7 linked regions of the Xenopus tropicalis genome follow. The protein of the gene in region 4 interacts with the protein of the main gene of each other region in a pairwise test. Links are inferred from orthologs where the notes say so. Each region holds a gene or a part of one and is shown on either strand. Other genes may lie near its edges.

Region 1 (4,286 bases), on a different chromosome or scaffold from region 4:
TCAGCTCTAGCTGTCTGCTTGAATTTCTTTCTCCTGAGCTTAGCTTTACCATTACAGTGCTCAAACAAAGCAGAACTTTTATCAGACAGTTGTGCCTGTATTCTTGATTAAATGTACATTACATTAACATTTATGTATAAAGCGCCAACATATTCCGCAGCGCTGTACAATAAGTGGGTTACATACATTGGACATACAGAGTAACATATAAAGCAATCAATAACTGATACAAGAGGTGAAGAGGGCCCTGCCTAAAAGAGCTTACAATCTACAAGGAGATGTACGCTGAATAAGGGTCTGTGTGTGTATGCTGTTTGCAGATTTAAATGTATCTGAGTATGTAAGAAAAATGGCCACCGGGTGGGAGGGGATATATGTAGTACAAATGATGCCATTTGGGTGGGGGAGATGTTCCCAACTGATTTACATTGTAGGCTTTACATATTCCTTAAAAATTTGTTGTACTTTTATATGTTTTAGCCCCAAGGCCTCCTGTGGTTTTGGGGGCCACAGCCTTAAACCATCCCTGATATAGTTCCAGCACATCACAGCCCTGCTTCAGTAGCACTCTCAATCTAATTTGCCTACCGCAGACTATAAAAACTAAAGGCAGTTTCCTCAGAGCTCCGCCTGTTGTTTTTTGTAAAAAGGCCTATTCAACTTTCCCCATATTTCCTTAATTACAAATTTAAATGCAATATAATTGCAACTGAAAACAGTACTTAGGCTATTGATTAGGAAGTCAAAAACGGACCAGTACTTTTTTTTCATGTTTATGTTTTCTGCATTGCAAAAGCCAGCTGCTTGAATAAGCATGGAAAGTATTGAGGTAATGGCTGGGTAAGAGCTAGGTAAGAGCTGGGTAAGAGCTGGGTAAGAGCTAGGTAAGAGCTGGGTAAGAGCTAGGTAAGAGCTGGGTAAGAGCTAGGTAAGAGCTGGCTCTTGGTACGTTGTTGCAAAAGTCAGACCAGAAAAGGACAAACAGTGCATCAAATTACAAACACATTTACAACTCTAAAACTACTCATGTACATTAGAACATTGCTTGGAATCGATTTTCTTTCATGAAGGACTTAAAAAAAAAAAAAAGCATTCCCCTTTAACTTATAGCCATTCATTCAGCAGGGTGTCATTATTATTCACGTTAGAATTGCGAAAGATTTAAAACGTGGCTGCTGCAGAGAGAATTGCTCTCTAACTGTGCGGCTGCAATTCATAACGCTGCTAGTTAGCCAGGAACTTCATAGTTTGTTTAGTGCCACTGTGGCTATATTTCCGCTACCAGTTGAGTCCATTTTTGTTTAACGCCGAATTTGTTAATAAAGTTGTGGTTTTACAGAGAGAACTGGGGCAGGAAGTTATACGTCTGCAGCTTAGGTGAGAGGGCGCAGAACTGGGAAGTGACGTATGCAGTGCGGGAGAGATGCCAAAGTCACCGGAAGTGATGTGTTTGTACCGCTGCTGAGCGTTCAGCTTGAGGAAGTGATGTGTGTTTAGTGCTGGTGACAGTGTGTAGGCTGTCACAGGGACTGCTGCAAGATGCGTTACGAAAGACCTACAAATTATCCCCGGGACTGCAATTTGCGAAAGTGACTTTGAGTCGTGGGCTCTGGGCCCGAAACTAACTCCCAGACGAACTGTTTGCTTGATCTACAGAAGAGGTAACTCCTTTGAAAATTAAAATCATCACCTTGGTTGAATTTCTTTTTTTTATAATAAGTAATTTCTCCCCAGGGGCGGCTTGTGTATACAAGTTAGGGTCGTGTGCATTTGCATCTATTATTGTGCTAATCATTTTTGCATTGATCTGGAAACTGACACAAAAACGTTGTTTTCACTGAAATGCATTGCATCTTAATGATTTTGCAGGGAAAAACACCATGCTTTAAAGTAATGTATAAGATTTTATTATTTTTTAATGAATGAATAAATAAATGCATTTTGAGTTCGTATAGAAGCCCTAAAGTACAAGTGGTAAACAATATTGATGGAGTAGATCTGCTTTCTTCTGCCTGCTTTTTTTAACCAGGCAGAGGAACGTGGATCCGCTGTCATGTGCTCCTTCATATAGCAATATTGACAGGTAAGATGTCAACTTGTAAACTACAGATTCCTCTTAAATGAAAGGAAAACAAAAACCCAAGATATATATTTTTAAAAATATTAAATATATGTATTTTATAATAATTATTAAAAAATGTCTTTAGGGGTACCAAATAAGCACAGTAATTGGCTATTTGGCAGTCCATGTGGACTGCTAGCCTGCAGGAGGCTCTGCTTGGAGTAAAACTGACCTCCAAGCCAGAAATGTAAAAATGGGCACCAACCTTGAGGCCCCTGGGAGCAAGGGGGCGGTGAGCAACATCTTGCTAACAAGCCACTGACTGGGGATCACTGGCTTAGAACTTTATGTCCATAATGCAGCCTATGTTGGCCTCTGTACAACTGTGTGTCATGCAACAAACCTATTACCTTTTTAATATGCAGTATAGATTGATTGTAGAGGTTCGGATTCATAGGAATATCTGGAAACCCCATTCCTAAGTAATCAGATGCCTATTAAAACCATTTACGCAGGGATGATGAGTAATAAACACAGATGTGCAGTGCATGGCTGCATAAAAAACAGTGCAGTGTTCTGCATGCATCACATGATTAGTCATCAATTGTGCAGAATGGTGATGTTATAGGTGATTCATTCTAAATATGAGGTGGAAGCCCTTTGCTGCATGTAAATGTTCACCAGTTTGATTAAAGTAGCTATTCATATTATTGGATTATTGTCAGATATCAACACACTTTCTGCTGAGTTTGTTATTCTGCAACAGCTCTGAAGTTTAGAGACAGCTTATTTTGATAACCATTTAGCTTGCTTCAGCGCTATTAGCTCTGCCTTTGTATTTATAGAGGAAGTACTCCCCTTTTTTACATTTGATATACACAAACACACATACATATACAGGTATAGAACCCGTTATCCAGAATGCTCGGGACCAAGGGTATTCCGGATAAGGGGTCTTTCCGTAATTTGGATCTCCATACCTTAAGTCTACTAAAAAACCAAAAAAATATTAATTATCCTAATAGGATTGTTTTGCATCCAATTAGGATTATTTATATCTTAGTTGGGATCAATTACAAGTTACTGTTTTATTATGTCAGAGAAAAAGAAAATCAGCTTTAAAATTCTGAATTATTTGATTAAAATGGAGTCTATGGGAGATGAACTTTCCGTAATTCAGAGCTTTCTGGATAATGGGTTTCCGGATAAGGGATCCCATTCCTGTATATATATCTGCATACAGGTATTGGATCTGTTATCCAGAATCCAAATGCCCTTGGTGCAGGTCAAAAACAAAAATATAATAGAAAGAATGCCGCACACATAGGGACTTGATACAAAAGAAAAAGTGTTTTTATTTAAAAAAATTGAATTTATTTATTTTTTTCTTTTAATAAATATGCTTTTTCTTGTTCCCCAGGTCAATTATGGCTTCTTTGGAGACTGGAAGAGAGTCCGGCACTTCCAATCAAAGTGACCACAAGAACCCGAGTGACATCTGTGGACTGGTGGATTTGGACACATGTGAGATTCCATTGTATGTGTGTGAATTTGTAGAAAAGGAGATAGGAAATGATTTCAAGTCTCTGAAAAACGTTTCAAACCTCATAGAAACCATTAAAGAAGAGAAGAAACATTTGGAGGAGCAAGTAAGTACAGCAGGTTATATTTTTAAGTCCTGTTAAGGATGATGATGTGATCTCTTACCTCAAGAACAGCCCTAAAGATTAAAGGGCATTGGCTGCAGTTAGAAGTAAAAAGTTGATGAGAGGGCATGTGGTGTGATTTGGGGTGTCATCCCATCAAGTAGTGACAAAACCTTCCTACTAGTAATTAGCAGGTCTCTTCTAACATGCACCTGACCATCAAAAGCTGCTTTCCAACCTGCACCCAAAGTATTGATCTTTCAGAGGATTAGAACATGGAATCAGCCCTTTATGTCAATCTTGTCTTTTAAAAATTATTCCTTTTCCAACCATAGTTTTCCTTGCAGTATTAAGCTGCACAAATGCAAAAAACAGGGCACTCTTAAATAAACCTTTTTTTTATCATTTATTAATGCCACACATAGAAATACCCAACACATTTCGGCCCTTACAACGAGGGGTCTTCGTCAGGGAAACATGCAAAAGGTGCAGGCAACTTACATTGACAAAGTGTTAGTAATATATACCCTCCAGAAAGTCCAAAATTTGACGTGCCAATCTTCAGCGTTACTTCCCCC
Region 2 (4,274 bases), on a different chromosome or scaffold from region 4:
TCTGTGGGTAGGGTTTGTATGGTGCCCAGTGTGTGTCTGTGTGTAGGGTTTGTATGGTGCATAGCCTGTGTTTGCCTCTCCCCCATGTACCGCCTGCACCTTGCCTCTCCCCCATGTACCGCCTGCACCTTGCCTCTCCCCCATGTACCGCCTGCACCTTGCCTCTCCCCCATGTACCGCCTGCACCTTGCCTCTCCCCCATGTACCGCCTGCACCTTGCCTCTCCCCCATGTACCGCCTGCACCTTGCCTCTCCCCCATGTACCGCCTGCACCTTGCCTCTCCCCCATGTACCGCCTGCACCTTGCCTCTCCCCCATGTACCGCCTGCACCTTGCCTCTCCCCCATGTACCGCCTGCACCTTGCCTCTCCCCCATGTACCGCCTGCACCTTGCCTCTCCCCCATGTACCGCCTGCACCTTGCCTCTCCCCCATGTACCGCCTGCACCTTGCCTCTCCCCCATGTACCGCCTGCACCTTGCCTCTCCCCCATGTACCGCCTGCACCTTGCCTCTCCCCCATGTACCGCCTGCACCTTGCCTCTCCCCCATGTACCGCCTGCACCTTGCCTCTCCCCCATGTACCGCCTGCACCTTGCCTCTCCCCCATGTACCGCCTGCACCTTGCCTCTCCCCCATGTACCGCCTGCACCTTGCCTCTCCCCCATGTACCGCCTGCACCTTGCCTCTCCCCCATGTACCGCCTGCACCTTGCCTCTCCCCCATGTACCGCCTGCACCTTGCCTCTCCCCCATGTACCGCCTGCACCTTGCCTCTCCCCCATGTACCGCCTGCACCTTGCCTCTCCCCCATGTACCGCCTGCACCCTGCCTCTCCCCCATGTACCGCCTGCACCTTGCCTCTCCCCCATGTACCGCCTGCACCTTGCCTCTCCCCCATGTACCGCCTGCACCTTGCCTCTCCCCCATGTACCGCCTGCACCTTGCCTCTCCCCCATGTACCGCCTGCACCTTGCCTCTCCCCCATGTACCGCCTGCACCTTGCCTCTCCCCCATGTACCGCCTGCACCTTGCCTCTCCCCCATGTACAGCCATCTTGGAACGACACTTCCCATATGGAGATCAGATGGGATGCCCAGCTTTGCCATGTTTGGGAGTAGCTCGCTGTGGGTATAGGGTGCCAGGGGTGAGACAGTGGCGCATACTGGAGATGGTGCCCCAGGGGAGTCATTTAGTGCGAGGAGGGGAGAGATAAAATCATAGAGAGGAAAGCTTGAATGGATAGACATGGCGGGTGTGATTGGGCCATATACATGGTTGCCCAGATAGCCCAATGGCCTGTGTGAGGGGACAGGGGGGCACATCTGTCCATCCATACACCCCCAAAATAAGTCACTGACAGCAGAACTGGGGCAATCGAAACTGACACCCAAGGCAAATACCTTTTGCCCCCCCCTTCCCCTTTAATCCACTTTTATCCCAATTTTCACTCTCGGAAGACTCCTCCGACCCCCCCCTCTCTTCTCTCCCGGCCTCCAACGCCGACTCCCCAATCCCAGCGGAACGGCCGAGCCACATGCAGCCACCGGAAGCCACGAGCCAATCAGTTCCGAGCACGTGGAATTCCCAGTGACGATCTCAGGCAACCGACATGTCCCAACGGGTCCGGTATCTGCCACAGGTTGGTGACGACCCCCCCCCACCTTTGTTTAGCAGATCCAGGTGTTCTGTGTAAAGGCCAAACCCATTTCCTCTTGGAATTATGGGAAGGTAAAACCTTCAGGATCCTGATTGGAGGGTCCTGTATGCACATATAGAAACCGTAGCCGCTGGGGGAGGAGCTAAATAGTAAGGGGGAGTAGCCAATAACATTGGGGGGGGCTGTATCCGTGTGGGTTGATTTTGGGAGCAGGTTGGCCGAGTGTGTGCGAGGTCAGCTGACCTCTAATGGGTGCAATTAAGCCAATTAGTGAGCACTGTAGGCATCCGCCGGTCTCTATTAATTGCCCCACCCGGCCGTGCGTTCTTGATGAATAAGTCCTTCCCCCGTGGGTAAGGTAAGTCGCTAATTGCCCTCGTTACTTACAATTAAATGAATAATTACAATTAAAGGGAAAGTACACCTTCTTTAGCCACGTGAGTGGTGTAATGTGTCCGGATGCCGAGGCTGAATGCCAATCAGGGTGGAATGTGGGCTGTGTGGCATATTTGCTCTCCTCCGAATTCTGATAGGGTGACTTGCCATACCTGGGAAAGGGGGGGGAGCTGGGCAAATGCTGCTCGTAAAGGGGCGGTTTACCTTCAAGGTAATTTGTGTATGTTATAGAATGGCCATTTCTAAGCAACTTTTCAACTGGTCTTCATTATTTATTTCCTATAGTTTAAATATTTGCCTTCTTCTACCAACTCTTTGGGGGTCACTGACCCCGGCAGCCGGAAACAATTGCTCTGTGAGGCTCCAGTTTTATTGTTATTGTTACTTTTTATTCCTTATCTTTCTATTCAGCCCCTCCCCTATTCATATACCAGTCTCTCATTCAAACCACACCCTGGTTGCTAAGGTAATTGGAGCCCCAGCAACAGGGTCACTGACCCCGGCAGCCAAAACCTATTGCTCTGTGAGGCTCCAGTTTTATTGTTATTGTTACTTTTTATTCCTTATCTTTCTATTCAGTCCCTCTCCTATTCATATACCAATCTCTCATCCAAACCACTCCCTGGTTGCTAACATAACTTGGACCCTAGCAACCAAATAGCTGCTGAAACTCCAAACTGGAGAGCTGCTGAGCAAAGTGAAATAACTAAGAAACTACAAATAACAAAAAACGAAGACCAATTGCAAGTTTTCTCAGAATAGCACTCTCTGCATCACTAGAATATTGCACTGTTTATTGCCCGGTGGCTCATTGGTCATTAACGTTCCTAACCTCACTGCCTCTCCATGTGACTCCCCAGCAGCAGCAGCCGTGCAGCCAGTAATGGGAAGTGATCTCTGCAGACTGTGAAGCTGCACTGTGGTATGCGACTGTGTGCAGACCAGGAAGTCATTTCTACACAGCCGCCTTCGCCCCTCCCAAACCCCCGTGCTCTACACCTCTCCTTCTCTCCTTGCCATTCCTGCTCTCTGACATGGGACGGAGTAAGACGCTTGGCTGAAAGCTCCCAGACGGACCAACTGTTCTAGAAGAGGTGAGCTTACCCTTTATTGTAACCCCCTCTCCCAGGCCCCAGAGAGTTAATCTGATCTCTCTTTCTTATCGAAATATATATAACTTTGCCTTTAATTCAGTGTAACTACTGCGGCTATTTAGAAACTTATGCTCTGTGTGTATTTAGCACTTACCCTATCTAACCCATTCTATAGCACTGGTCCAGTCTGCAGGGAGGCAGAATTGTGTACAGAACCATGTACAGAATTGAATTTTGTAGCTGGACCATGTACAGAATTGAATTTTGTAGCTGGAACCATGTACAGGATATAATTTTGTAGCTGAAACCATGTACAGGATATCATTTTGGAGCTGGACCATGTACAGAATTGAATTTTGTAGCTGGAACATGTACAGAATTGAATTTTGTAGCTGGACCATGTACAGAATTGAATATTGTAGCTGGAACCATGTACAGAATTGAATTTTGTAGCTGGAACCATGTACAGAATTGAATTTTGTAGCTGGAACCATGTACAGAATTGAATTTTGTAGCTGGACCATGTACAGAATTGAATTTTGTAGCTGGACCACGTACAGAATTGAATTTTGTAGCTGGACCATGTACAGAATTGAATTTTGTAGATGGAACCATGTACAGGATTGAATTTTGTAGCTGGAAACATGTACAGGATATTATTTTGCAGATGGAACCATATACAGAATTGAATATTGTAGCTGGACCATGTACAGAATTGAATTTTGTAGCTGGAACCATGTACAGAATTGAATTTTGTAGCTGGAACCATGTACAGAATTGAATTTTGTAGCTGGACCATGTACAGAATTGAATTTTGTAGCTGGACCACGTACAGAATTGAATTTTGTAGCTGGACCATGTACAGAATTGAATTTTGTAGCTGGACCCTGTACAGAATTGAATTTTGTAGCTGGACCATGTACAGAATTGAATTTTGTAGCTGGACCATGTACAGAATTGAATTTTGTAGCTGGAACCATGTACAGAATTGAATATTGTAGCTGGACCATGTACAGAATTGAATTTTGTTCCTGGAACCATGTACAGAATTGAATTTTGTAGATGGAACCATGTACAGGATTGAAGTTTGTAGATGGAACCATGTACAGAATTGAATTTTGTAGCTG
Region 3 (4,366 bases), on a different chromosome or scaffold from region 4:
ATCTTACGAGTCACCACACAAAAAAAACTTGTCCTTTATGATCTTTTAGACCAGGGGTCCCCAACCTTTCTTACTCGTGAGCCACAGTCACATGTAAAAAGCCTTGGAGAGCAACACAAGCACCATAAAAGTTCATGGAGGTGCCAAATAAGGGCTAAGATTGGCTATTAGGCAGCCTCTATGCACACTATCATCTTATAGGAGGCTTTATTTGGTAGTAAATCTTGTTTTTATTCAACAAAAACTTGCCCCCAAGTCAGGAATTAAAAAATAACTACCTGGTTTGGGGGCACTGAGAGCAACATCCAAGGGGTTGGGGAGAAACATGTTGCCCCTGAGCCACTGGTTGGGGATCATGGTTTTAGACAGTCAGTGCTCAGGTTTGGTAACTTTGAGCTGCACTTACTTTAGACTGACTCAAACATGTACACAATTACCTACTCTAGACAATGAACGGCTGCATCAATTAACTGAAAAATTGGCTTGTGAGCCAAAGGGCACATACCGTACTCAGTACAGCCACTTTTCTATTGCCCTCTTCCCTTCCTCTGACAGCAACTATCTGCACAGTATTGTCACTACCTCGTCTGCTGATGCACAATTGCACCATACAGTCAGCATAATACATTGGCAGATTCAGGCCCAGACTGAATGCCAGAGGGGCTGCTGTAAGATATCATAGACATTCACTGTTTAGTAGGCTAGTGTGGGGCCTCTATGCAATTTGAATGCCAGGGCCTATTTTGAGCATCAGTCCAGACCTGGGCAGATTACTTTTTCCACCATGTCTGATGACCCAATCTATATGCATGGTACAAAGATATTGTCTTGATTGTCAGGCCAGCCTGCAATATATTAAAACTGGTTATACAACTAGAACTAACATGATTTTCAGTACTTGTAGGCTGATGTGACACTCAAGACAATATCTTTGTACCATACATATAGGTGCAGCCTTAGTAACCATAAAGGACAGTACTAGGAAGATTATATAAAAGTTTAGAAAATAAATGTATATATTTTTATATATATATATATATATATATATATATATAAATATATATGTTTAAATATATATATATATGTTTAAATATATATAAATATATACATGTATACATTTAAAAAAAAAATAATAAGTGTGTAAAAAAAAAAATAAGTGTATATATATATATATATAAATGACACCCTACCCTCTGCCGATCTGATTCCAGCTCGCTGGTAACTGCGCCCAGTTCTCTATCAATACGGCAACGCCGGCAAACTTAGGGTGTTTACGGTAAATGTGTTCTCTCGCGAGAGTTGCCCAGAGATTGCTGAGAGCGGGATTGTTCATTTCAGGGAAGGGAAGGAGGAATCTGGCGGTGAGTGAGAGGTGCTGTATTGGGTGAGCATGGGCACAGCCGCACAGGTCTCCTGCTCTACAGTTATTGGTGATGTACGCACTGCTGGTGTCTATGTGCAGCTGTATTGCAGGACTGCAACTCCCAGATTCCACCAGTTTCTCAAGTCAGTGTTGCTCAGGGTCCCAAGCTGCTACATTACAGCCAAGTTCGCAGCAGCAGCCCAAAGGGAAGTTTTAAAGCGTGCAACTATTTCCCCTTTGACTTAAAGTGCTAGAAACCACTGGCCTTGGGATCTTGAAGAATGCTGGGAAATGTAGTCAGAAGATCTAGTCTACAGCATGCAGTAATAGCCTATTAGGAGGGCCCCCCCAGCACTTGTAGACTCTGCTTCCTTGGGATTACTTAGGATTTTTGCACAGTTAGACATCTATCAAAGAGCATATCCATAAAGAAGAAGCAGATCCTGCCATTATAAGGGGGCAGTGGGGTGCTTACTGATAAGCGGTTTAATAAAAAATATATTATTAATGTGTTAATGATTTTGATGGGCTCTTTAATGCTTTCATACTTCTTGTGGGTTACATTGGAAGGGTTAAAAGGCTGATGAGTTTTGAGCATGTAATGCTCTACATTATGGAAAGGCTTCCCCCCCCCCCCCCCCCCCCCCCTTCCCAATCCAGAAAGTTTAAGATCCCAAGCATTCTGTGGATATTATATCTCGGGTTTATAAAGGAAATATAGACCCTCAACAAATTATTGAAAAATTGCTCCAAGTGCTCATGTAAGCACTTTTGCCACTTTTGCCTCCATTCAAGATATTAACAGTTTTTCAGCTGCTAGTATAATGAATTTGATTCAGCAGTGCTGGCTACTGGTCATTTTGGCTGCCTGGTTGCAATCAGCAGAAAATTAATTATGTGAGAAGACCAGTGGCTTGTAAAGTTGCTCTGCTTAGAAAATGAAGTGAGCAGAAAAGAGTCATCTGGGGTTGCTCTGGTCATTTCTAAGCACATTGTCATCACAAGATGTTCCTTTCCTCTCTCTAACTTTTCATTTTCATCTGACTGTATGCAGATAGCTAAAATAAACAGCAGGTGGCGCTGAGGTTTGAAATTCATTATATTAGCAATTATGTTTAACATATGTGTCAGGATCCACAAGGGTAACCGTGTTGTTTACGAGGGGTCTTCATGATTCCCCTAAATAATATATTTTTTCCTACAATTAAATATAGTGAAGCTGGCTTTAGAAAATAACTTAGGGCCCCTGAGAAAAGAGCTTATGAATGTAGGCAATGGTCATAATTAAGTTAAAGAGCTGCTGCAGTTACGGAGTGTCAGTATATTACTGAGTTTGTACCATGGTGCAATTACACTAGCACTTTATAGGGTGTAATTTGCATTAAATTTTCCAGTAACAATATTGTTATTATTTACTATGCATTTTTATACCTTATAAAGTAAAATTAGATATGTGCTGTCTATTTATGGTTGTATTTTTTGTCTTTCTCCTTTTAAAATTGAAACTTATTTTGTTAAATTGCCCTTTAGGCGTGAAATGGAAATCTCCCCAATTGCTGGTGTTCGTTGCATTGCCATTATTTATATTATCTGTGCAGAGAATTGCATCTTCACATAGTGCAGATAAAGACTTAAGGTGGCCATACACGGGCCGATTGTAGCTGCCAATATCGGCCTGTGTAGAGGCAGGAACGACGGGCATGCCTGACCGATATCTGGCCTGAAATTGGCCAGATATCAATCGTGCAGGTTATAAGATTTAGTCGGATCGGGGACCGCATTGTTTCGTTGATGCAGTCTCTGAACCGACTGCACCCATTACTGCCAGTGTAATTCGATTGTTTGGCCCCAGGGGTCTCTTAATGTTCCTTGTTAGGTTTTTTCCCCAGCTAGAAACCTTAGAACCGTACAGTCATATACAAACATATTTGTATTCTGGCTACATAATCCACTGACATTTTCCTCCCATTGTTTCAGATCTGCCTGTAACCTGTGAACAGCTAAAATGGATGACAGTGAAGACAACACCACTGTCATTTCCACACTACGGTCATTTAATAAATTTCTTTCTCAGCCATTGGAAGGGACAGCACCTTCTCTTGGTACTTCAACATCTACTGGAGCTTCCCTTCAAATGCAGTTTCAGCAGCGCTTTCTGGTATGTGTATATATATCATTAATATTTATTAATATTATCTAACAGAGGGATGTTACTATGCAGGTCTGTACTAATGTTTGCATTTGACTAAAACTGGGGGCGGTTATAGTTAAACATACCTATTACCGCCCCCAGTTTTAGCCTAAACTAGTCTGTGTACAGGAATTTTCACAACAGACAATTGGCTTATACATAACTTATGCAGTTTGTGTAAGTTTAGCAACGCAGCTGGGCCCCCTTCTGAAGCAGAATTCACCAGTATTCTGAAGCAGGCCCACCAGTACCCTCCATCCCCCCTAATGGCAGCCCTAGTTGGACCACATATATTGGTCAGTAATGTGCAAACTATATAACATTTCTTGCAAAAGTTGTAAAGTTCACATGCCTAGAGTAACTACAGGTCCTACAGACATGCAAAATATATAAGCAACAGTAGTCTGTCCTCTCAGATCTACAGTTGAACTCCTAATCGCTAAATGGAGGGGACCCATGTTTTTACCTCAGTATCATAGCTCTTGTTATACTACAGCTTGTATTGGGGTTACTTTTGAAACAGCTACTAACAGTGATCCCCTGCAAACAGGTTACATAAGCAGAAAGCCAGAAAGATGTCACCCTTTGTTCTCGTGTCTGAGAACGAGAGCTTTACAGTGACAGCCTTATGCAGGGGTCCAGCTGTTGCAGATGTGTTTGATACATACTTTGCAGATACCCCCTACCAGCTAAGTCTGGGTTGATAGGATCTGCCATTTTTCCCCTATAGTGCTGAGTGTTCCTTATTCTTTAAAATAATGCTTTTTCTCTATACAGTACAGCATTCTATTTTATAATGCAAATACTATTTG
Region 4 (4,384 bases):
GACCCAAGGAAAGTCTCCCATAGGGCTCAATGGCACTCTGCAGCTCCAACCCGGCCCAAGGAAAGTCTCCCATAGGGCTCAATGGCACTCTGCAGCTCCAACCTGGCCCAAGGAAAGTCTCCCATAGGGCTCAATGGCAATCTGCAGCTCCAACCTGGCCCAAGGAAAGCCTCCCATAGGGCTCAATGGCACTCTGCAGCTCCAACCTGGCCCAAGGAAAGTCTCCCATAGGGCTCAATGGCACTCTGCAGCTCCAACCCGGCCCAAGGAAAGTCTCCCATAGGGCTCAATGGCACTCTGCAGCTCCAACCTGGCCCAAGGAAAGTCTCCCATAGGGCTCAATGGCACTCTGCAGCTCCAACCTGGCCCAGGAAAGTCTCCCATAGGGCTCAATGGCACTCTGCAGCTCCAACCCGGCCCAAGGAAAGTCTCCCATAGGGCTCAATGGCACTCTGCAGCTCCAACCCGGCCCAAGGAAAGTCTCCCATAGGGCTCAATGGCACTCTGCAGCTCCAACCCGGCCCAAGGAAAGTCTCCCATAGGGCTCAATGGCACTCTGCAGCTCCAACCCGGCCCAAGAAAAGTCACCAGCTTGAATGAATCCAAAACTTTCGTACTCGGCGCGAAAGCTGCGAAAAAGTTGCGACAATTCGCGCAAGTCGTAACGCTACAAAAAAGTCGCGACATTTTGCGAAACATTCGGAACGGCTATGAAAAAGTCGCGAAAATTTTGTGAAAAATCGCAAAATACCGATCATCCTGAAAAAAACGCATTCGGCCCGTTCGTGGGTTAGTAAATGTGCCCCTTAAGGTCATAATCCTCAGTGACCAACACACAAGATGGCGCTCATAGTGTGCAACATTTAGAAATGAAAGTTCATTTGGGCATAATAATTTAAAAATGAAGGTACATTAATGATATTTAAGGCACATTTAGTCTAAATACATACCAAAACCACTGCTTTAGCTCTGTCCATTACCTCTGTCCTCACCATAAACCTGAAAACATATCTGCCCCCCTCCCTCCCCACCAAGGGACCCAGCTTGGGCAAATGCGCCCCTACCCTGCCCTTCTCACTCAGCCCTATTCAGGACCTGTATCTAACAGTATCTGTACTCTGCTCACCAAAAGGGCGACGGGCAGCTATAAGCCTGCAGCAAAGCGACCCAACAACTCACTACAGCGCAACCCACCCCTCTCTACAGGCGGGAGTTCCACTCGCCTAGAATCCTGCGTAAACTTGCACTGAGTTCTTAGTAGGAAGTCTTTATCTTGGCTTCACGCTACTTCCGGGTGTACTAACATGGCGGCGACGTTACGGTACCTCATTGATGTACCCTGTTACTTTGGGTGTACTAACATGGATGCGACGTCAGTGTATCCAAATGGTTATGTCCCCCTTCCGGGTGTACCAATATGGAGGCGATGTAGCTGCGGCTTATAGTTTATCTGCCGTGTTTTGTATTACCTTACTAAAAAGCGTGTTTGCAAGTCACAGAATTGATGCGGCAGTATACGGTGGGAGCAAGCAGTGATTTTGAGCCGCCCTTGTTATTAGTGGATTACAGCTACAGCTTTAAGGTGCCAGAGTGATGGCAGCTGACGGAGGCATGTTTGAAAGTAGCAGGAGTATTGAGGAGAAACGTGAGAGCAAGAGGAGAGCACGGCAGGAGCTGCTCAGCAAGGTACAGGCGGCTTGTATTGGGCAGGGGCTGAGGGGCCAGTAGCACAGGGACCCATGTTATTAGTGACAATGAAGGCAGAGGCAAGAGCTGCCTGTGGGAATGGAATGTTGTAGTTCAGCAACTGCTGCAGTTTTGCAATCACATATTAATCTAACCTCCCAATTAATGCAGCTTTCCTACACTCCCAGGTGCCCACTCAGCTCTGTAAAGCGCCACAAGGGTACGCAGCGCTGTACAATCTTACAGAATACAAATTGACACACAGGGAGGACAAGTGTTATAATAAATAAATACAATAAATATATATATATAAGTGCCATGTGGTATGAGACACAGTAGGAAGGAGGTCCCTGCCCCGTAGAGCTTACAATCTAAGTGGTTGGGTAAAATACAGGCACAAACTGGAAGGTAAGAGGGCACCAGGTATGGGCATTTGCCCTTAAGCGCAGGACTGGGCAAAATAATGTTTTAGTGCTCCAGAAGGTAGCATCTGAGTTTTATCTTAAAGAGAGTGGGTGAGTTTTCCCTACGGGGGGATTCAGGGATAGAGTTCCAGTTCCATGTATGTTCTATGTGTACACCCATTTATTGTACAGTGCTGCGGAATATGTTTATAAATACATATCAATAAGTATAATAAATATTGACAAAGCTGAAATGTGGCTGTATATCCCCTTGTTCAGCCATAATACAATGAACTAGGCCTGTGCTAAACATACTTTTTGCCTATTTTACCTGTCAAAACATAACGTAGCATTTACCCATAGGTAACATAAAAGGCATTCCATTATGTAAGTAGGTGAATGGATATATGGAATTACTTTATATAAGTCATACTTTATATTCTGACCAACTTTGGCTGTTTGCTATTTTTTGCTTAATTATTCATTATGCTTTTTTTCATTATTATTTTTTATTTTTGAATTAGATTTATGACTATTCTGTCATTTTCTTTTTCTTTAATTCTTATAGGCCAAAGATGACTACTCTAAAGCAGAGAAGCGTAAAGAGCAGCAGCGCCTACGAGGAGAAGACACCTGGATGCTAGATGATGTTAATGATCGGTTAGAAGCATTAAATCAGGTAATACACGCAGGTAAACATAAATAGCTATAAACTGATTTTAGCCGCCAGTTAATTTGTGCTCGCAAAATCCTTCGTACTCTGTAAGTTCTTGTGTCCAGAGAAGAACCAATCAAACTATCGCTAAATATATTTTTTTCTAAGCATCATGCTGTTTATTTTATGTCTCTTTTACTGTGTTTTGTCTTTTCAGGAACATTCTGCAAAGAATAAAAAGAAAAAGGAGAAACACCGCCACAAACTGAAAAAGGAGAAAAAGAAAAAAAGCAAAAAGCAGAAATCGGAAAGGAATGATGATTCTGAGGACAGTTCTTCGGTATACCGTGGGACATTGGGAAGGGAAGATAATTGGGCGCATTGGTTTACAAGGCACAGTGAGCAAAATGCGAATTCGAGGGCCGTCGACATGTATTTTTTCCCCACAATGCTGTGTCTTTTCCACAACCCAGGTTTTGATGCAAATGGGCAATCCTATTGACATAATTGCACTGCGCCTACCGGAATTAAGTCTGAAAATGGAGCAAATGCATGTGTGCTTAGTTGCAAATCAGGTGCAGTTGCACCAAATATTTTCCATATCTGCCTGGTATCATTGCCTGCGATCACTGTCGTAATTTTAAGCGTTCAGCGTGTGCCTGATTCTTTTGGTGCAGCTGCACTTAAGCGACTGAGGGAGCAGAGGGAATTATGGAGCTACTGCCTGGTCAGGAGGTGCTGGTAGCTCCAGGGTGCCCCTATGTTAATATGCACAGCAGCACTCAATTTGGAACATAGGGCAGGAAAGACTGAGCAGTGCCAAGGCCCACTTTACAGAAGTACAAGCCCTGCATTTTGAAGCAAATACCTTTAAGAAAAGTGGTTTTATGCACAAAGCATATCAAACTGAAATTGATATGAAAGAATTATATTACTATATAAAGTTTATGTTTAGATGCCAAAAAGGGACTTTTTCACATAACCTATTAAAGGAGACATATCATATAAAAATTAAGAATGTACCAGTGAATTATACTCCTCTAAATATAGAAGGATTGTGCTTAAAAAAAGTTGTGTTTTGGGTTGATTTATTGAGAAATTCCACCAAAACCCCACTAGTCCCAACCATCTGTTCCACTTCCTGCTGGCTGAATGTGCAGGGGAGCCGGCAGCTCTCAGTACACTGCACTGTAGGATAGGAGCCAATCAGCAGCTAGGCTGACCTGATAGGGAACTGAAGCCTGTCTTTGCTTGTGTGAGTGCAAGGCTGTGATTGGCTATCCCCCTCCTACTGTCCTTGTGGCAGGGACTTTTAGAACACGCCCACGCTAAAATTGATTGGATTTACGTTTAGCCCAAAGTGAAACCAGCACCATATATTATTCATAATTGCCAACAAACTTGGGGTTTTTCCATTTATCCAATATGTCTCCTTTTACACTAAAGGAACGTTCACATGTTGATATAATGGTTCACTTTTATTGCATCTTTATTATAGGATGTGTTTTGTAGCAATTTTACCACTAGCCTTAAACTATTATGTCTTTGCAGGATTCTGAGGAGGAATGGGTTGAGGCTCCCCCACTACAGGCAGCCAGTGAGAAGAAGGCATGGAAAATTAAGGCTGAAGTTAAGGCTG
Region 5 (3,799 bases), about 5.7 Mb from region 4:
TATAGAATATGTCACACTACTGTATATATAGAATAGAAATGGCACACTATACTGTATATATAGAATACAAATGTCACACTATACTGTATATATAGAATAGAAATGGCACACTATACTGTATATATAGAATACAAATGTCACACTATACTGTATATATAGAATAGAAATGGCACACTATACTGTATATATAGAATAGAAATGGCACACTGTACTGTATATATAGAATAGAAATGGCACACTATACTGTATATATAGAATACAAATGGCACAATATACTGTATATATAGAATAGAAATGGCACACTGTACTGTATATATAGAATAGAAATGGCACACTGTACTGTATATATAGAATAGAAATGTCACACTATACTGTATATATAGAATATAAATGGCACACTATACTGTATATATAGAATATACATGGCACACTATACTGTATATAGAATAGAAATGGCACACTATACTGTATATATAGAATAGAAATGGCACACTATACTGTATATATAGAATAGAAATGGCACACTATACTGTATATATAGAATAGAAATGGCACACTATACTGTATATATAGAATAGAAATGGCACACTATACTGTATATATAGAATAGAAATGGCACACTATACTGTATATATAGAATAGAAATGGCACACTATACTGTATATATAGAATAGAGATGGCACACTATACTGTATATATAGAATAGAAATGGCACACTATACTGTATATATAGAATAGAAATGGCACACTATACTGTATATATAGAATATAAATGTCACACTATACTATATATATAGAATAGAAATGGCACACTATACTGTATATATAGAATATAAATGGCACAATATACTGTATATATAGAATATAAATGGCACAATATACTGTATATATAGAATATAAATGGCACACTATACTGTATATATAGAATATAAATGGCACACTATACTGTATATATAGAATATAAATGGCGCACTATACTGTATATATAGAATATAAATGCCACAATATAAGGCTGATTAGTAAATAATTTAGAGTCTCATTATGTGGCAGCTAATACACAAGTACAATTTGCTTGAGAACATAAAGGAGAACTAAACCATAAACATAAATATGCCTAGAAATGCCATATTTTATATACCGAACTTATTGCACCTCCAGCCTGTAGGTATCAGCATGTGAGCATCAGCTGCTCCAGGAGCCTAAAACATAAGCTGTAGTAATGATAGCCTAGTTTTAGTTCTGCTATAAGGAAGATCACAATTAGTGTATAGAGTTGATGTTAGAGGAGAGTTTACAGCGGGGGGATCTAATTGTCTATTTCTCATCTTGCTCCTTTTGAAGGATCAGGTGGACACATTAACGTTCCAGAATAACACGCTACGAGACAGAGCGAGGAGGTTTGAGGAGGCGCTGATGAGAAGCACGAATGAACAGTTAGAGGTATTACATTACATTAACATTTATTTATAAGGCGCCAACATATTCCGCAGCGCTGTACAATAAGTGGTTTCCATACATTGGACATACAGAGTAACATATAAAGCAACCAATAACCGATACAAGAGGTGAAGAGAGCCCTGCCCAAAAGAGCTTACAATCTACAAGGAGAAAGGGTTGAGACACAAGGTGTGGGAATGGGCATGACAGAGTTGTGAGAGGTGGGGCACAGGGTATTGCTAAACTAGATTAGGGTAAGCTTCTCTGAATAAATGTGTTTTTAGAGATCTCTTGAAGGCAGAGAAATTGGGAGAAAGTCTGACAGTTTGTGGGAGTGAATTCCAGAGAAGGGGGGCAGCCCTTGCAAAGCCTTGAATGCGAGTGTGTGAGGAGGGAATGAGAGAGGAGTTGGGGAGCAGGTCAGTAGAGGAGCGTAACAAGTGGGTTGGATGGTACCTAGAGATGAGTTCAGAGATGTAGGGTGGGGCAGAGTTATGGACTGCTTTAAATGTGAGGGTCATTAGTTTGAATTTTATCCTGGATGGTAGGGGAAGCCAGTGCAGGGATTGGCAGAGCGGCACGGCAGAGGAGGAGCGGTTGGAGAGGTGTATGAGCCTGGCAGCAGTATTCATTATGGACTGGAGAGGGGACAGTCTTTGGAGGGGAAGGCCAATTAATAGGGAGTTACAGTAGTCCAGGCGAGATATTATAAGAGAGTGAATAAGAATTTTGGCAGCATCTTGGGTGATAAATGATCGGATTTTGGAGATATTTCTTAGGTGAAAGCGACATGATTTGATAAGTGATTGGATATGAGGAGTGAAGGACAGGGCAGAATCAAGGATAACCCCAAGGCACCGGGCCTGGGAAGATGGGGTGATGGTAGAATTGTTAACCGTTATAGATACCTCGGGAACAATGTGGGCGTTGGATGGGGGGAAGAGAACCAGTTCAGTTTTAGAGAGGTTTAATTTAAGGTAACGTTGGGACAGTACCTTAAGATAACCACATGGGGGTCTGTACAATTCTTTTCCACAATCAGTTTTATGCAGAATGTCCTTTGAAACTCAAATTCATAATATTGTGTTCCACAGAATCTGGCCTACCTCTAGCTGGCCTGCCTGTGTAGTGCTGATAACAAGGACTTTAGGTCGGGGGTGACTGGTGACATCACTTGGGGGTAAGGGTAATGTAGCAGCGGAGAGGGTTAGGGAAGGGAGGGGTTTATACAGTTTTACAAATTGACTGACAATTATATTGCCGGTAATTATGCAATTCCAGCTCTGGCCCTGACTGGTGAGTTAGTGACTGGTGAGTTAGTGACTGGTGAGTTAGTGACTGGTGAGTTAGTGACTGGGCCAGTCAAACACTGGCCGGGTGGTAACCTTCCCTTTTCTCTTCCCCCCTCCTCTGAGAAAGCAAACGCTACACTTTACTATACACGTACAACATACTGGGGCGTGAAACAATCTTCTGCCGTAGCAGCTTTGCATAATTCGATGTCTGAAAATGAAACGGTTGTTTTGCAGATTGCCCTAGCGCCATACCGCCACTTGGATGAAGATTTGCACAGTGTGAAACAAGTGCTGGAGATGAAGAACCAACTAATCCATCAACAGGAGAAGAGAATAATGGAATTGGAAAAACTGGTACGTCCCTTACAGTAAAGCTGCCAGGATGCTCATTCTGCTGCCGGGATGTGCAGAGAGATGGGTCACTTACCATTGGTTCTGCTTCTTCTCTCAGGCTGAAATAAACGTTCTTTTGGAGGAGAAAGTCCAGGTCCTTCAGCAGCAGAACGAAGACATGAAAGCCAGGATTGCGCAGAATGTGGTTGTCACCAGGTCTCTCTATTACTGCCTACTAAATGCAATGGGGGTAATAATAATAAGTATCATGGCTGAATGCCTGCGCCAGTCTGGTAACCCAAACAGTAACAATAGACCACGTTACTACATAATCCCTTATAAACATTAAACTTGTTATTTAGAATTCTTTTTCATATAGATTTGAGATATGAGATCACAGGATTTTAGATTTCTCCCAACTATAAGACCATGTACATTGCCAAGTGCAGTGAGCAAAGTGCAATCACCGTGTTTTTTTCCCACAATGCAGCATTCTCCTAGAATTCCAGGGTGGGTTTAGGGGTAATACTGATGGCTGCTACACCAATGTGTTTGTATATCTATAACCTTATTATGTGATTAGTGACTATAAGAAATCTGTGACTATAAGACATTCCATTTACTGGCCTGTTGCTTTTTTCTAGGCAATTATCTGTTGAAAATGCCAATCTACACGAAAGTGTGGAAAAAGAAAACAAGGAAAAAAAGAGGTTAAGTCGCACAAATGAAGAGCT
Region 6 (4,363 bases), about 14 Mb from region 4:
CCCGACTCGAGTATAAGCCGAGGGTGACTTTTTTTCAGCACATTTTGGGTGCTGAAAAACTAGGCTTATACTCGAGTATATACAGTATTTGAAATTCCCAAAATGGTCAGTCAGACTCATATAAGCCCCCTACTGTCCACTGGTCAAATTGATTCTAAACCCAAAACACTTTAATATATGTAGGTATTTTAATATTTCAAGAAACTTTATATAATATATAAATTACTAATAATTACTTATACATGTTTGATGATCAGTTTCATTATTGCTAACTATTAACCAGTGTGTTTACAAGTAGAAAGTCTTCTCCTTTCATTGCATTTTCTTTCACTGATAACATTATCTTTTCTGTAAAGAGCAGTCCATTGAACATTTTTACACATTTGCTTCAAATAGCAGACCTATAAATTTCACCTATTTTTTGACTGATGTGGGTTGTTAGCCCTGAGGGTAAGTTTATACATGACATTCAATTACTTTCTATTTTTTCCATTTGCTGGAGTCAGAAAGTGAGAAATAGCACCATATATTGAATAGTATCATGAAAGCTGAGGCTACTCAGCCCTAATAATTTTAGGGACTGTGTCATATAGCTAGAGGCACACTCTGCCATGAAATGCTGGTTTCACTGTCCATGAAATTCATGTGTCATCAAATGCTGGGGCCACTGTATCATAAATTGTTGGGGCCACTGTGTAATATATTGCTGGTGCAATCCTATGGTATGAAATGCTGGATTCACTGTGCCATAAAAAAGCTGTGTCCACTATGTCTTGAATGTTGGGGCCGCATTGTCACAAATTGCTTAAAATGCTGTTATGATGTGCTGGGCCAATGGTGTGTTATACATTTTATGGGCCACTGTACCTACAGTATAATATCATGATTTTTTGGGCTGAAAGTACCATTATTTCTGGGGCCACTGTGTCATATATACTGGGTTCCCTCTGGCATAAATTGCAAAGGACACACTGTTTGACATATTACTTGGACCATAGTCTCGTGAAAGGCTAGGGTCATTGTCAAAATTTGCTGGAGTCTCTCTGTTATGAAATGCAAAGGGGTAACTGTTTCATATATTGCCAGAACCACTGTGTCATAAAATGCTAACATCACAATGTCATGAAATGCTGAGGCCACTGTGTAATACATTAGTGAAAACCCCCAGAAAGGCAGTAATTTACAGTATGGTCTTCCTAATATCATAAGTATGTGGTACATCCTCTCCTTAGTGTCTACAATTCAGTCAGTTACCCAGCCTGTGACAAAATATTTTGATTATTTTTTTGCAAAAACTGGTTGTTCCAAGTTTTGTTCTTCTAGATTTGCTGAGACAACTCCCGCTTTAGGTGCCAACGTTGTATTTAGTGACCGCTAATAGCACTTCATTATACACATATATTTCTGCTAAATTGGCCTGTTAGACATTTTTTGACTTAATTCTATTTAGGTAAATTCCCTGGCTGAATTTTTGCTTAATTTATAAAATTTTGTGTTACAAGGGAATTTATTACATTTTGAACATACTCTCTCCCTACAGATAGACAAGACCTTAATGGGTAGCCTCGCCTCATCATCATATGCTGACTAGGACGTTTGGCAGAACACGGTATGTATACCTCCTGAGATTCAGTACATTGATTACATTTAATGGTGTCGTGGGGCACTTAAGAGGAACTTGAAAAAAAATCTTTTAGCCCCTAGGTATGAATTTAATATGGAATATCACGAATCTTTATATTTGGATGTTAATATTATAGTATATAATATTATAGGGATAGATAACACCCTTGCATCAATGACTTAAAAAGAAAGGTCTTCCTTAGACCATGTGTTAAAGAAAGCACTGTCAAAAATGTATAATAAAGTTGTTAAGGTTAAAAAATTGTGTTGTCATTCATAGAAGAATTCTCTCTTGTTTCAACAGCAGGTAATTGGGTTCTTGAGAATTTGTGATTGGTTAAAGATGATCAATCTCTGTGTGAAGAGGTTAAAATACTCTAATCTGCATTTATTAAAAAGATAAATCAATATGTGATTACATTGTTAATGCAGATCCGGTATATAATTATAGATATGTGGATATATGTTGGGGGGGGGGCACTGTGTCATTAAATGCTTTGGGCACTGTTGCATGAAATACTGTGGCCACTAGGGTTGCCACCTGGCTGGTATTTCACCGCCCTGGCCTGCAAGGGCCAGAGCCAAAATTACAAATCTACCTGAAATGTAGCTGCCAGTAAATTTGCAATAACTTGTCCTTTGCCCATGCCCACCTCTGATCCACCCGACCTGCCTAATATCCTCTCACCCAGCTCTCTATCTAGCTTGCCCTGATCACGATTTCCCCTTATATGTGGCCCACCAAAGCTCCGCCCCTGACATCACAAAGATTGAGGCAAGGCAGCAACCCTAGTGGCTGCTGCCTCATGAAATGTTGGGGCCACTGTTTCATAGATTGTGGAGGCAACTTTATCATTTAATGCTAGGTGCAGTGTATCACAAATTTCTGGAGCCACTGGCACTTGAAATGATGGTGCTACAGGATGTCATGAAATGCTTGGGGTTACCGTGTTATGAAAAGCTAGAACCTCTGTATTATATATTTGGGTAGCACAATGTCTCAGGACAAGGAAGGGGACCATAACAAGGAACAGGATTGAAAAAAAAGGTATACAAAGCAAATAGTGCAATCAGGAATAGTAATGAGTATAATTTTTCACCAGATATGGATTTGTGGCACAATTCCACAATGTCTCAGGACAAGGAGGGGGGCCATAACAAGGAACAGGATTGAAAAACAAGGTATACAAAGCAAATAGTTCAATCAGGAATAGTAATGAGCATAATTTTTCACCAGATATGGATTTGTGGCACAATTCCACAGTTTTGTTGCAAAATATTTTCACAAAATTTTGCAACAAAACACCCATAGACTCCAATGTGCAATGCACAAAAACAGCCGCTGCAGACAAATGCCAATTGATTTCCATGCTTTTCGACAATTCATGAATTTTCCCACAGTTTCAGAATTTTTTTCAAAACAGGAGATATTCACTCATCACTACTCAGGAACCTCGGAAACCTATAAAGAACAAGAGGGGAATGTAGGATTGGGTAATACTGGGGGTGTCAGTCAATAAGCTACTCCTGCTGCTTGATGCAGGATCCTACACAAACAGAAATATGTTGGCAAGTTTTAGTTAAATAAACCCAATAGCCTTTCCCCATGCATCAGGCCAGGATTCAAATGCAAGCGAAGACAGGTACCAGGAATACAGAACAGGATTTATAATGCACATAGAACCCTAAAATTGTGTTTGTGTGTCAGTTGTCCTTTGATTAAACAATCATTTTTTTATTGATTAGTGGGTGCCTAGCAAAGGGAGGGAGCTTCATATGCTGAGACTGTAGTGATTTCTGTCACTGATGAGACATGGTGCAAAACCAACCCATACTACAATAACATGATTGTCAGTAATGCTTGCTGCTGCTGCACATATGGAGAGATGTATTTCACATGATGTCATTAGAGTAACTCAAGAAGGTTGTTGAGCAAAAGTGGAATGGTCTTCCTGGAAAGCAATGGAGATGGTCCAGTTCAGCACATACCATTAATTCACAGAATCCCTTAGGCTCCCCAAAATTATTTAAGGGACATTTTGTCACTCTCATTTTAGCTAACCATGTGTTTCCAATCCGCCTCTTCAGCAGTACGATCAGTTGCTGTGTTTCTTGGGCTGTTTTTCTCCTGGAACAAAATATGGAAATTTTAGAACTACAAAAATTGCTGAATCATTTTGCTAATTTCCTGTAATAACGTTTCAGCGTTTCTCCATGCAATTTGTATTTGCACAATTTGTTACACTGCAAAGAAAAGTACTATATGTTGTAAAAAAAATTACTATGTCTTTGCTGTTTAATTAGTTGCCTATTTTCTTTGTTAACTAGAAGGTTCTACATTTAATTGCCTGAGTCTTGAACCTTCTTTCCCTTGATCAAAAAGAACAGTTTGGTTATAAAATTATTATTACTATAGTTGATAAAGTTAGGGTTGTGCCTGTCTGGTTTTAGACTAGACAGCCCGGTTTTTTAAATGTGATGTCTGGTTTTTGGATCTCAGTCTGGTTTCTAATGGCTCTGTAATGTAACACACCTCTATGTGCAACTTCATGTATGGAGAAACTGCTCCATTTTCTGTGGATCTATTCACAGTATGCACAACATTTAAAGTGGACCTGTCACCCAGGCATACAAATCTGTATAATAAAAGTCCTTTTGAAATTAAATAAGAAACACACATTCATTTTTATATTAACACACCCAAACCCATTATAAAGGCATTTAAAAATCCCAGCTGTCA
Region 7 (4,491 bases), on a different chromosome or scaffold from region 4:
TGTAACAGCCCCTAGGCACCCCTACAGCCCTGGGTGAGTGTGTGGGTTCTGTATGGGGGTATTTCTGCCCAATCACTGCCCATACAGACTCCCCCCAGTTCCATGTGACTGCTGCAAATCAGCCCATAGATTTCCCATGATATTCAGGGGGGGTGCGACCCCCCGCATAAATGCCTTTGTAGCTTTCCCACTGTGTTTGGGCTCATTGTGGGAATATCCAACCCCTGGAACTGCAACTCTCTGCCTGACACTTAGACATGATCCTGAAGGGTTGGTATTGGGGTGAATTCATCCGACCCTCAACTTTAACAAGGACCCCGGTCCCTGAACCAGCCCCACAGCATGATGGGACCCCCACCCAATGTGACAGTCGGCAGTGGGGGTTTCTGGGAAAGCGCTTTTTGTTATGAGCAAATAACGCCATTTGTGTCTCATCAGCCCAAAGCACTTTGTTCCCAGATGCCTGCAGCTAAATGAGCTTTTGCCCCAACAAGCGACGGTATGTGGGGCGCGAGGGCAGAAAGGGCTCCTTTCCCACCCCCCGGCCATCCAGATGGTCTTTGTGCAAATGGCGCTGTAGCACCAGGTACAGATACACCGTCTGCAGCAAGAAGTTCCTGGGGGGTGAGGTGGGATCTTTGGCTTGTCTGGAACCAGTCTCACAATTCACCCCCAATATTCCGCTCTTGGATGTTCCTTGACAGGCCAGACCTGGGTTTTACAGCAACTGTTCCTGTGGCCTCCCATTTCCTGATTACGTTCCTTACAGTTGGAACTGACAGGTTAACCCTCTGGGATCTGAGCTGTTTGTAGCCTCCCCCTAAACCCTGTACTGAACAATCTTTGCTTTCAGATCTATTGAGAGTTGCTGTGAGGATCCCCTGCTGTCACTCAGGAGAGTCAAATAGAAGCACAACTTGCAATTGGTCACATTAAATACCTTTTGGACACACCTGCCTGTGAAGGTCAAGGCGTAACGAGCTAATCCAGCCAATTAGGTGCTGCCAGTAATCAGTACTGAGCAGTTACATTCAGCACAGTTACAAGGGGACCCACATTGTTGCACAGACAGTTTTCCCATTGGGTTTAATCCCATACAACTAATGCGGCTTCACTAAATCTCTTTGTTCAGAAACCCCCCCAGGCCCCCCCCACTTATCTTTAGTGTTTTATTGTGCTGCCTGAGAGGGGTTCCTATATATATTATAGGGGGTGGGGGGGTGCATGTGTGTATGTATATATATATATATATATGTATGTGGGGGGGGGGGTGCGTGCCTTTGTTACTGAGTCATTGTGTGAGTGTGACTCACTATCAGCTGCTCAGTGAGTGTGTGACAGCTGCACCCCAGACTTGCCCCCCCCCCCCCCCGCTCCTTATCCCTGAGCTAAATATACAGCAGGAATGCCCCCCTGCCCCCCTGCCCCCCTTCCACTCATGTCGCATTAACTCTGCCTGATAGTGGGGGGGCACAGCCTGGTGCGAGGGGCTCTGTTAGCTGCTCAGCCACTGGCACAGAAGGGTTAATCATTGGGGGGGGGCAGGAGGAAGTGACCGGAGCCTCAACACTTAGTCTCCCAGTTTGTGTATCATTTGGGGAGAGAGTTGTGAGAGCGCTCAGGGCAGGACACCCAGTACCAGTAAGTGGGGGGCACAGAACTTGGGGGGCAGCTGGGTTGGGGGGTCTGGGTGGTTGTTACAGGGTTTTTGGGTGGGAACAGTAATTTTCAGGGGTTTAGATGGGGGGGTTGCTTGGTATATTGTGGGGGGGGGGTCACAGGACTGGGGATGTTGTGTGAATTGAGGGGGGGGGCAGGGTTTTAATGTTTTTTATTTAAAACTATACAAGAGAAGATAAACTCAACTGAGACCGACAGGCCGGGCAACTTACCCTCTACTGCCCACACTCCCCAAGCGCCTGGCACAGTGGCATCAGCCTGAGGGCCCCTTGGCTGGGGAAGCTGCTAAGTGTTGGGGGTTAAGGTTGTGGGGCTGGGGGCAGTGCCCGTGGTTTGGAGAGGCAGGGGGTGAGGTTGCGGGACTGGGGGCAGTGCCCGTGGTTTGGAGAGGCAGGGGGTGAGGTTGTGGGACTGGGGGCAGTGCCCGTGGTTTGGAGAGGCAGGGGGTGAGGTTGCGGGACTGGGGGCAGTGCCCGTGGTTTGGAGAGGCAGGGGGTGAGGTTGTGGGACTGGGGGCAGTGCCCGCGGGTTAGAGAGGCAGGGGGTGAGGTTGCGGGACTGGGGGCAGTGCCCGTGGGTTGGAGAGGCAGGGGGTGAGGTTGTGGGACTGGGGGCAGTGCCCGCAGGTTAGAGAGGCAGGGGGTGAGGTTGTGGGACTGGAAGTAGTGCCCGCGGGTTAGAACGGCAGGGGGTGAGATTGTGGGACTGGGGGCAGTGCCCGCCGGTTAGAGAGGCAGGGGGTGAGGTTGCGGGACTGGGGGCAGTGCCCGCGGGTTAGAGAGGCAGGGGGTGAGGTTGCGGGATTGGGGGCAGTGCCCGCGGGTTGGAGAGGCAGGGGGTGAGGTTGTGGGACTGGGGGCAGTGCCCGCGGGTTAGAGAGGCAGGGGGTGAGGTTGCGGGACTGGGGGCAGTGCCCGCGGGTTAGAGAGGCAGGGGGTGAGGTTGCGGGACTGGGGGCAGTGCCCGCGGGTTAGAGAGGCAGGGGGTGAGGTTGCGGGATTGGGGGCAGTGCCCGCGGGTTGGAGAGGCAGGGGGTGAGGTTGTGGGACTGGGGGCAGTGCCCGCGGGTTAGAGAGGCAGGGGGTGAGGTTGCGGGACTGGGGGCAGTGCCCGCGGGTTAGAGAGGTAGGGGGTGAGGTTGCGGGATTGGGGGCAGTGCCCGCGGGTTGGAGAGGCAGGGGGTGAGGTTGTGGGACTGGGGGCAGTGCCCGCAGGTTAGAAAGGCAGGGGGTGAGGTTGCGGGACTGGGGGTGAGCATGATCAGGGTGGGGTGCTGGGGCCTCTGTGAGTGGGTGGGAGGGCACGTGGTACTGTTGGTGGGAGGATTTAGGGATGAGGGGCCCTTGGGGGGGCACATATATACCCCCAGTACATCTTGCTGCCTGTTTCTTCCTAGCATCCTGTGAGGGGATGAATTTTGCGGTGGGTTTCAAGCCTTTGGCCGGAGACACCCAGACCATGGACAACCTGGAGAAGCAGCTCATCTGCCCCATCTGCCTGGAGATGTTCACCAAACCCGTGGTGATCCTGCCCTGCCAGCACAACCTGTGCCGAAAGTGTGCCAATGATATCTTCCAGGTACCCCCTGGGGCTCTCTTGGTCTAACCCCCTGTGTGTGGCACTAACGCTATGGGACAGGGGCCATTCTTACTGTTGGGGGGGTATCTCAGGGAGGTGTCTCAGGAGGTACCGGGATCTCATTAATGACTGCCCCCCAGCAACCACAATTGAAAAAAACATAACCTCTTTATTTTATCTCAGAAAACTCTGACTGGTCGCCTCCTCTGATTGGCCAGTGAATACAGTTGGCCTCCATTGGCTGTTGGAATTCACAGACCCCCTCACTGTGGGAAATAGGCCCCGTGATACAATGCCGGATCTATTTATAAATAACCTTGTGCCAACTGCAACCAAAGTAGAATTATATAAATATAAACAGTCAGTTCCTGGCACCGGGGCATCCGTCATGCTTTGCCCTTCCCTGTAACTGAATTCCCTATAACTAGAACCTGCCTTTCCTTCATGGCACCTCTCCCCCACCTGTATTAGAGACAAGGAACAAGATGTAGGAGACTCCATAGGAGGAGGAACAACATAGAGAAGAGTCAGTAGGGGGAGGAACAAGATGTAGGAGACTCCATAGGAGGAGGAACAACATAGAGAAGAGTCAGTAGGGGGAGGAACAAGATGTAGGAGACTCCATAGGAGGAGGAACAACATAGAGAAGAGTCAGTAGGGGAGGAACAAGATGTAGGAGACTCCATAGGAGGAGGAACAACATAGAGAAGAGTCAGTAGGGGGAGGAACAAGATGTAGGAGACTCCATAGGAGGAGGAACAACATAGAGAAGAGTCAGTAGGGGGAGGAACAAGATGTAGGAGACTCCATAGGAGGAGGAACAACATAGAGAAGAGTCAGTAGGAGGAGGAACAAGATGTAGGAGACTCCATAGGAGGAGGAACAACATAGAGAAGAGTCAGTAGGGGGAGGAACAAGATGTAGGAGACTCCATAGGAGGAGGAACAACATAGAGAAGAGTCAGTAGGAGGAGGAACAAGATGTAGGAGACTCAGTAGGAGGAGGAACAACATAGAGAATAGTCAGTAGGGGGAGGAACAAGATGTAGGAGACTCAGTAGGAGGAAGAGCAACATAGAGAAGAGTCAGTAGGGGGAGGAACAAGATGTAGGAGACTCCGTAAGGAGGAGGAACAACATGGAGAAGAGTCAGTAGGGGGAGGAACAAGATGTAGGAGACTCCGTAAGGAGGAGGAACAACATGGAGAAGAGTCAGTAGGGGGAGGAACAAGATG

Evidence for each region.
Region 1: the proteins of cwf19l2 (region 4) and rint1 interact in binary tests that used the Homo sapiens proteins (3 or more experiments, as listed by UniProt). The two-hybrid records come from large-scale screens. The link is inferred for Xenopus tropicalis from reciprocal best matches to the Homo sapiens genes CWF19L2 and RINT1.
Region 2: the proteins of cwf19l2 (region 4) and card9 interact in binary tests that used the Homo sapiens proteins (3 or more experiments, as listed by UniProt). The two-hybrid records come from large-scale screens. The link is inferred for Xenopus tropicalis from reciprocal best matches to the Homo sapiens genes CWF19L2 and CARD9.
Region 3: the proteins of cwf19l2 (region 4) and mad1l1 interact in binary tests that used the Homo sapiens proteins (3 or more experiments, as listed by UniProt). The two-hybrid records come from large-scale screens. The link is inferred for Xenopus tropicalis from reciprocal best matches to the Homo sapiens genes CWF19L2 and MAD1L1.
Region 5: the proteins of cwf19l2 (region 4) and mtus2 interact in binary tests that used the Homo sapiens proteins (3 or more experiments, as listed by UniProt). The two-hybrid records come from large-scale screens. The link is inferred for Xenopus tropicalis from reciprocal best matches to the Homo sapiens genes CWF19L2 and MTUS2.
Region 6: the proteins of cwf19l2 (region 4) and calcoco1 interact in binary tests that used the Homo sapiens proteins (3 or more experiments, as listed by UniProt). The two-hybrid records come from large-scale screens. The link is inferred for Xenopus tropicalis from reciprocal best matches to the Homo sapiens genes CWF19L2 and CALCOCO1.
Region 7: the proteins of cwf19l2 (region 4) and trim54 interact in binary tests that used the Homo sapiens proteins (3 or more experiments, as listed by UniProt). The two-hybrid records come from large-scale screens. The link is inferred for Xenopus tropicalis from reciprocal best matches to the Homo sapiens genes CWF19L2 and TRIM54.

The regions. Positions count from the first base shown.
Region 1 is NC_030679.2:77,093,234-77,097,519, reverse strand, and holds the start of rint1 (RAD50-interacting protein 1), read left to right. Parts: upstream 1-1,367; 5' UTR 1,368-1,661; intron 1,662-3,482; 5' UTR 3,483-3,489; coding exon 3,490-3,711; intron 3,712-4,286. UniProt on the Homo sapiens protein: Involved in regulation of membrane traffic between the Golgi and the endoplasmic reticulum (ER); the function is proposed to depend on its association in the NRZ complex which is believed to play a role in SNARE assembly at the ER.
Region 2 is NC_030684.2:6,411,982-6,416,255, reverse strand, and holds the start of card9 (caspase recruitment domain-containing protein 9), read left to right. Parts: upstream 1-1,461; 5' UTR 1,462-1,639; intron 1,640-1,831; exon of another isoform or gene 1,832-2,015; intron 2,016-2,913; 5' UTR 2,914-3,147; intron 3,148-4,274. UniProt on the Homo sapiens protein: Adapter protein that plays a key role in innate immune response against fungi by forming signaling complexes downstream of C-type lectin receptors.
Region 3 is NC_030685.2:31,040,198-31,044,563, reverse strand, and holds the start of mad1l1 (mitotic spindle assembly checkpoint protein MAD1), read left to right. Parts: upstream 1-1,322; 5' UTR 1,323-1,361; exon of another isoform or gene 1,362-1,384; intron 1,385-1,412; exon of another isoform or gene 1,413-1,435; intron 1,436-3,340; 5' UTR 3,341-3,368; coding exon 3,369-3,521; intron 3,522-4,366. UniProt on the Homo sapiens protein: Component of the spindle-assembly checkpoint that prevents the onset of anaphase until all chromosomes are properly aligned at the metaphase plate.
Region 4 is NC_030678.2:160,179,737-160,184,120, forward strand, and holds the start of cwf19l2 (CWF19-like protein 2), read left to right. Parts: upstream 1-1,496; 5' UTR 1,497-1,593; coding exon 1,594-1,686; intron 1,687-2,658; coding exon 2,659-2,769; intron 2,770-2,962; coding exon 2,963-3,085; intron 3,086-4,296; coding exon 4,297-4,384.
Region 5 is NC_030678.2:154,502,438-154,506,236, reverse strand, and holds part of mtus2 (microtubule-associated tumor suppressor candidate 2), read left to right. Parts: intron 1-1,341; coding exon 1,342-1,440; intron 1,441-2,966; coding exon 2,967-3,086; intron 3,087-3,183; coding exon 3,184-3,281; intron 3,282-3,709; coding exon 3,710-3,799. UniProt on the Homo sapiens protein: Binds microtubules. Together with MAPRE1 may target the microtubule depolymerase KIF2C to the plus-end of microtubules. May regulate the dynamics of microtubules at their growing distal tip.
Region 6 is NC_030678.2:146,265,387-146,269,749, forward strand, and holds the start of calcoco1 (calcium-binding and coiled-coil domain-containing protein 1), read left to right. Parts: upstream 1-1,528; 5' UTR 1,529-1,609; intron 1,610-4,363. UniProt on the Homo sapiens protein: Functions as a coactivator for aryl hydrocarbon and nuclear receptors (NR). Recruited to promoters through its contact with the N-terminal basic helix-loop-helix-Per-Arnt-Sim (PAS) domain of transcription factors or coactivators, such as NCOA2.
Region 7 is NC_030681.2:162,398,340-162,402,830, reverse strand, and holds the start of trim54 (tripartite motif-containing protein 54), read left to right. Parts: upstream 1-1,480; 5' UTR 1,481-1,641; intron 1,642-3,076; 5' UTR 3,077-3,090; coding exon 3,091-3,258; intron 3,259-4,491. UniProt on the Homo sapiens protein: May bind and stabilize microtubules during myotubes formation.